Linked DNA regions of Daphnia pulex. The protein of the gene in region 1 interacts with the protein of each later gene in a pairwise test. Links are inferred from orthologs where the notes say so. Each region holds a gene or a part of one and is shown in the gene's direction. Other genes may lie near its edges.

Region 1 (3,266 bases):
CGCGGATACTTTTATGAACTGTAATAAACTGACGATTAACGGAATGATTCGTGCTTAACTTATTCTTTTGATATCCCAGTTTGTCTTGAACGATTCTTTCATTAATAAGGTTCAAGTTTCCTCTGCATTAATTGACATAATTTCTTGAAGCGGGTACGCGGCGTTTGGGTGGATGTAATAAATGAAAAGTAATTCGGACGCATACTCAATTGCACTTTGCATTAATTTATTCAAACCGCAAAATATAAGAATTTACAATATGTATTAAATATCTCATTCAATGTTATCATGAATTTTAACAACATCGGGCTCTTCTTCCAACTTACTATAGAGCTTAGAAACTAATGCTAAGTCTTCTTCGGATTCAATCTGAACTCTATTTCGTGGGATATAGAGCAAGTCAGATTCTATTATGCAATAGCCAAGCTGACTAACAGATCTCTTGACATTCAAAAAATCCCTTGGGCTGCATGTGAAGACAAACTTGCCATCTTCATCAGCTAGAAATTACCACAGAATTTCGGATAATTGCATAATGTATATATTTCACTTGAATGATACCTGTTACATCTTCCGCCCCGACGTTAATAGCATCGTCAAGTACTTGCTCAATAGTTTGGCCAATAGATAATGGTGACACCTTGATTAATCCTTGATGGTTAAACAGATTGTTTGAAACTCCTTCTGCCCATGATGCACTGACAAGAAAGGATTATTATTACTTATAAGTCAATTCATACACTACATTTACCAGTAATTTTAAACTTACTTGAATTTCCTGTTGATTGTATTGATGCCTTGTCTTGCTTTCAAATAACTAGGAGTGAGAACTTCTACCACGAAAAAGGTTCCCACTGGTCCTCTTACTTCCATAACATAAGGTTTTAAATCCTCAGTAGACTGATCAGCATTCTTTAGAATATGTTTCAACTTTTCAGAGGGCACATTATGATGCCTTGCTTGATCTACAAGATGACTAAGTTTTATATTTTGTTTTGGATCTGCCGAGCCATGTTCTGCAACAAAGAATTGTATGTTAATGCTAAACTTTGTTTCAACCAAAAATTAATACTCAGTATACAAACCTTTAATAGCTGCCTGATTGTTGTGATTGAAATTCAAGAAAATGTTATAGTTACACTAATAATGAGAACACAAATTCAAAATACCCTAATTTGACGAAAAATTCTTAGATGTAAAGTTGCTCTTTCAGCATCCTTTGCACCCTTCACATGTTTGATGTTGGCCCATTTACTATGCCCAGCCATGTTTCTTGAGAGCGGAATCAAAATACCCAAACGAATCTTTTGAAACATGATAAATTATTGTTAATATTTTTTGAATTATTATAAAAAGAAAACAAAATGCAGTTCCGGTAAATATCTTTTCGTCTGCTGTTTTAGTCTCGCTACAACGTCGACTGCTACGCTTTCAACTTCTTCTTTTCAAACGCAGATCACTTCCTGATATTCGATTTTCTTGAATAAAACAATGGAGACTGAAGAGAATAATCAGAATGTTAACCATGTAATGGCTTCATCGGGGGCGACAGGAAGTATATCAGTTTTATTGCATCCCTTGGTTGTGATGAATATATCTGAACATTGGACTCGAGTGAGAGCCCAGGAAGGGAAAGCACAGCAAGGTAATGTTTATGTGATGTACATTTTAACTCTTTATTTATTTTGTATACACAATTTCATAGTGATTGGTGCACTCATTGGAAAGCAGAAAGGAAGAAGCCTAGAAATCATGAATTCCTTTGAACTGGTTTTCACTGTTATTGAGAATGTGGTAATTGACCGAGATTACTACAACACAAAAGAGGAGCAATGTATGAAATTTCCCATTCTTTACTTATTAAATGTTCTTCATAATTTCTTTTTATCTTTAGTCAAGCAAGTGTTTAGTGATATGGATTTCCTTGGCTGGTATACCACTGGAGATGCTCCCAATGAATCTGACATTCATGTCCACAAACAAATATGTGAGATTAACGAAAGTCCTGTAATTTTGAAGCTTAATCCTTTTACACGAAATGCTGACCTCCCTGTAACAATGTATGAATCTGTAATTGATCTTGTCAATGGAGAGGCAACTATGCTCTTTGTTGAATTGACTTATACTTTGGCCACAGAAGAGGCAGAAAGAATTGGAGTTGATCATGTTGCTAGAATGGCTTCTGGTGATTCAGCTGAAAGTTCTCAAGGTAATTTTAATTCATTAACATTATCCTTATGAAACTGTCATGGACATACTTTTCTTTTTTAAACAGTGGCGGAACAATTGCAAGCCCAACACAACGCAGTAAAAATGCTTGCCAACCGAGTGCGATTGATATTAGAATACATTCGAGCCATGGAGAGAGGAGAGGTTCCAAAGTCTCACGAAGTCTTACGCGAAGCTAAATCTCTGACCCACAGGTTACCTGTCCTCAACTCTGAAATTTTCCAGGAGGAATATTACACCGTAATTATATCTTAACTCTTTGTTAATTGGGTTGATTTTTCTAATCTTGTTTTCTTTTGTCTTGTAGCAATACAATGATGTCTTGCTGCAAACCTATTTGGCATCCATTACCAAAGCATGTCACGACCTTCACCAGTTTGTCACCAAATTCAACATACTTTGCGACCGTCAAGGCATAATGGGTCGCCGAATGCGTGGTCTCTTTTTCTGAATTGTGAGCATTGTATAACATATTTAAGGAAACATGCTTTGTGCCCTACCTAATACATATTGGTTTTGATCAAGATTCCCATTTCAGCTACATTTCCATCCAAGGTGTGTATTGAAAATGTCAGCTTAATCATGGCAGTGTAATATCAAGTCCATATGGATTATTTTTCTTAAGTTTATTGGCCTCGTAATTTAAGGCGTCCTTTGTTAATACAGAGTGTTAGTATGAGATTAGCAGTCTGTTGGATTTGACAAATCCGGCAAATCCGATACACTGGAGATTAGCTTACATCGAAACTATGGGTCCTAGCCAAGATGTTGGTTATTTAAAGATTTACTCGACTTAACAATATCGTTCGTTGTTTGGCAGTTTTTTTGTAATTTTTAAAATTATTTAATGAATTCGTGATCCAATATAACTTAAATTAATTGTAGTTGAGCTCACAGAAAAAAGGAAATTTTGGCATCTAAAATTATTTGATTCAGATTCCAATCTTTTTTTCCAATTCATTTTGACAACACTGGAAAAATGTGTTATAATATTATGCCAAAATGTGTAGGTACAGATTTACAACGCCGATCATAAT
Region 2 (3,992 bases), on another chromosome or scaffold:
AAGACAGCTGAAAGTCTAGGAGTTAATGGCCTAGCACAAGCGACCCAAGAAAAGAATACCAACGGCGATGCAACAACATCGATGAGGGAAGTGTCTTCATCACCGACCAATCTTCCGTCAGAGCTTCAAAAGTCGCACAACGATCGTGTGAAATCGTCATCCAGAAAACGACTTCGGATTCGACGTAGTATAGAGCCGGAAAACCATGATTCCGGCAGTCCTTATTCAGACCACAGTCAAACTTCGTCCACCAACTTCTCACCTCGCATTGAAAAAGTCGTTTCCATGGTATTTTTGTTTGAATTTAACCTCCGAGCTGAATGCGTTTGAATAAATTTTAATTTGTTCAGGAAACCCCAAGAAAAACGACACCCGTTAACAACGATTCTACTCCGATTCCACCCAATTTCACCAATAAGATTACATCACCAAATTTCGTGGCGTCGTTTGAACCGATTCTGCTGGAATGCGATCCTGTCCTCCAAGATTCGCCAACATTTTCCAACATTGAATGTGATCCGCACCCTCAAGTCAAACAAGAGCAATGCATATGTAATGTTAACTATTTTCTTCTTCATTAATGGAACTGAAATTGTTAATATAATTTCATTTAGGTGATTTCTTCCGAGGATTTATCGTTTATAAATTCAACGACTACATCGCCCAATGCCATGGAAATCGACAACAATACTGGGAAGAACCCTTCACGCAAGCTGTCTTGAAAGGAATACAGGTAATTATAAATTGCACCTTATTAACCATCCAACTCACATTAATTTTTTTACACTTGACAGGATCGCGAACTGGACATGAGGAAAGGAGCTCAGCTTTTGGGTGTGTCATACAGCACACTTTACGGACGATACCGATATATTCAAACTTAATAAGTGAAATACGATTGCTTAATTTGGTTTTCTCGGCTTGGTGATAAAAATAAAGTCAAATTTCTGGCATCTACTTCTCCGTTTGTCGGTTATTGTAGCACACAGAACCTCTAGCCTACTTTGGTTTTAGATTATTTTGTTATTACAACACTATAAACAACCTATACTAATTTATGTAATTTTTTAAAAAGAATTTCAAGTCTTCTATAAGACTATAATTATAAAATACCCCAATATTTATTTTTGTTAGAAATTTTGTTCGTTTTTAAGGTTTAAATACGTTTACTATCGACAACGCTGTTCTGGATTATTATCTAATTGGGCGGGAGAATTCCACGCTGAAGGAAAAATTTCGTAGTGTCGTTGAAAACCACAGATCTGTTAACTACCATTTTATTCAAGCCTAAAAATGTCTGTTTCGTACGGAAATTGCCAACTGAACCACCCAAAAGGACAAATCCAGGTAGAATCCCTCTGTTATTCTTGCATTTACAGTCTATGGAGTGAATTTAAAGTTTCGTGACATGCAATCACATTTTTGTCAACTTTCCACACTATATAAGTTCGAACAAAGATTTACGAAAACCTTGTTTACTTGAAATAGTGTAAAGAAAACATGTTATAAAGCTAAAACTAGCATTCAATTCTGTGGGTAAAGAATATGTTTATTTCGTAGGTTCTGAGGGTAAATCAACATAAAATTAATTTAAAATCGGCATAAGGCAAACATTTAATTATTTGAGAATAACACTATGTTAAAATAAAATATGTTTAGGAATCACTCATTGGATTTAGTGGTATGGGTTTTCGTTTCAGGGAAAGTTGACGAGTGAGGCCAGTCCAGAATCTGCCACTGCCAAATCCTTCCTTAAAGTTTTTCCCTCCAAGCTCACAGAATTTTGATATCATCCTCGAAATTTTGAGGTTTTGTGACACATCGGAAGCCGTTTGCTTGTGCTTGTTGAAAATTCTGCAGTCCACTTCCCATTGCAGCAAAAGTTGAACAATATTGGTGTAACCCCATCTGGCTGCCAAGTGCAATGCTGTGTCCCCGTTTCCATTCATGGCGTCGTAATTAAGTCGAAAATGAGCTTGCTCCGAATAGTATAAAAGGGCCTTGACGCACGGTTCGTGTCCGTTTAAAACCGCCAAATGAAGGGCCGTATTCCCTTGAAGATCTCGACAATTTAAATCACAACCGGACTGGTGGCACAACAACAGTAAACACGTTTGGAAACCTACCAAGAAAAATGATTTAATGTTTAATTTATGCACAAAACTGTTTTTCCTAATATTTTATACCTCTAAAAGCGGCCCAGTGCAAGGCTGTACGTCCTACAGGATCAGGAATTTGAACTTTATCGCGAAAGGATGTTCTCAGTAGAACCTATGAACGATTTTAATCATTCAAACTCTATATTCTGTTAATTATTTCAACCGTTTTACCTGGGTAGCGTCGCTGTGACCGTAATACGTTGCATAGTGGAGAGCTGTCCATCCCCTGGAATCGGTTCCTATTGCGTCGACTACTCTTGGCAATCCGCAGGAATGGCACGAACACAATGGGTGGCACTCGAATTTGGAACTGAACAGGAGCTCTGTTAGCGCTTCCGCATCGCCAAAAGCCGATGCTCTGAATAACGGTGTGTCAGGGACATCTTTGGGTAATGTTTGATTGAAACTGCCCAGTTTCAGGTGATCTATCGCCGCTTCTAATGTTGAGATGAGGTAGCCATCTTCACCTAATAGACTTGATGTGTGAAAGAATTTGATGAACTCCAGTTGGGCTGCCCAATTGGTCACTTGAGATTTCAGAATGAGGTAGCTCAATAGTGCCAGTAAATTGTCAGCATTCAGGTCAGCTGGAACATCTGTTTTGGTTAGAAAATTGACTGTTTTTCGTAGACAATCCAACTTGTCAGTCACCAACTTTTTGTCCGATAACTTTTCCAGTTCTGCAAGTGCCATGGTAATACTTGATGAGAACTCCTCGGGGAGTTCAAGATCTTGAAGTGTAATGTCACAGTTGTTCCTCCTGATTTTGTTGAGGTTCGCATCAATTTTGTTGGCCTCAATTGTGACGAGATCCATCAACTGGCTGTAGAGATTGTGAATAACACAGCTTGAGATTCTTCTGTCGAGGCTTGAAAAGTAGTTTTTAACTTCATCTAGGCATTGTTTCAATTTTTCTGGTGAGACGAAATCTTGATCTGATTTCATGTAGTTGGCCAAAGTGATCTTGACTGTTCTTACAGAGTCTCGAATAGATTTTTTCTGAAGAATGGTGGGGCTTTTGATGTTCTTGGCATTTGGATCATCTCTGACGATACAGAGAGCCCTTACTTTTCCCAATTTTGTGTAGATTGTTTCCTGGAACAGGATGCGAACTGAAGTCGATCCAAATTTCAGCCTGTCGTCACTTATTTGAACTGGCTCATTGGTCAGTGTCCTGGATTCTCCTCCATGTTGCATGATCAAGTGCTTGCGAACATAGAACTCGTCGAACTGATCTTGACAGACACTGTTTGCCGATGGAATGCAAAGGATCCATTGATTCTTGACAGCTTCTTCGTACAAAACTGTACAATTCTCCTGGAAAAACTTCAAAAAGGGATTACTTGAAAGATCTTCGTCGTACTCCATAATTTGGATAAAACTTTAAAATGATCCTTTCCTAACGTTGGAAAGGTCCAGAATGGCAATTTTCTGTGTCAGCTACTATCTTTAAATGACTCACTTCCGACCCGTTTCCGACGTTGTTATTTTTATTTCTTTGTTTACTGACAGTTTGTATTGCCAAAATTTCACCGGTGCGCCTAGTTATTAAAATCCCCCCTACTTTTTGTCTACGCAGATTATCTTTGGGCCCATGTTTTCGGGCAAAACAACCGAATTAATTCGCCGTTTGAAACGCTATGAAGTGGCCAATCACAAATGTTTGATCGTCAAGGTAATTTTTGATTATTTTATTTATTTTACAACTTAATTTTAATACTAATGATGATTTCAGTATGCCAAAGACTTGCGGTATGAATCGAAATGCGGCCAGGGGGTGGCTACTCACGATCATCAACATCGGGCGGCCGTTGCGGCCACCGTCCTGTCATC

What was found. The genes of interacting proteins can lie anywhere in the genome.
Region 2: the proteins of COP9 signalosome complex subunit 6-like (region 1) and thymidine kinase, cytosolic-like interact in a two-hybrid assay, tested with the Homo sapiens proteins (2 studies listed by BioGRID and IntAct). The link is inferred for Daphnia pulex from reciprocal best matches to the Homo sapiens genes COPS6 and TK1.

The regions. Positions count from the first base shown.
Region 1 is NC_060019.1:12,303,768-12,307,033, forward strand, and holds COP9 signalosome complex subunit 6-like, read left to right. Parts: upstream 1-1,403; 5' UTR 1,404-1,491; coding exon 1,492-1,645; intron 1,646-1,705; coding exon 1,706-1,834; intron 1,835-1,894; coding exon 1,895-2,209; intron 2,210-2,275; coding exon 2,276-2,469; intron 2,470-2,536; coding exon 2,537-2,680; 3' UTR 2,681-2,755; downstream 2,756-3,266. Other genes in the region: probable transcriptional regulatory protein FMG_0893, read right to left, coding at 274-500, 562-698, 770-1,016, 1,086-1,098, 1,170-1,316. UniProt on the Homo sapiens protein: Component of the COP9 signalosome complex (CSN), a complex involved in various cellular and developmental processes.
Region 2 is NC_060026.1:15,980,601-15,984,592, reverse strand, and holds the start of thymidine kinase, cytosolic-like, read left to right. Parts: upstream 1-1,192; 5' UTR 1,193-1,293; coding exon 1,294-1,347; intron 1,348-1,528; exon of another isoform or gene 1,529-1,655; coding exon of another isoform or gene 1,656-2,122; intron 2,123-2,186; coding exon of another isoform or gene 2,187-2,271; intron 2,272-2,330; coding exon of another isoform or gene 2,331-3,527; exon of another isoform or gene 3,528-3,675; intron 3,676-3,738; coding exon 3,739-3,834; intron 3,835-3,894; coding exon 3,895-3,992. Other genes in the region: longitudinals lacking protein, isoforms H/M/V-like, read left to right, coding at 1-288, 351-552, 615-733, 795-884; ankyrin repeat domain-containing protein 27-like, read right to left, coding at 1,656-2,122, 2,187-2,271, 2,331-3,527. UniProt on the Homo sapiens protein: Cell-cycle-regulated enzyme of importance in nucleotide metabolism. Catalyzes the first enzymatic step in the salvage pathway converting thymidine into thymidine monophosphate.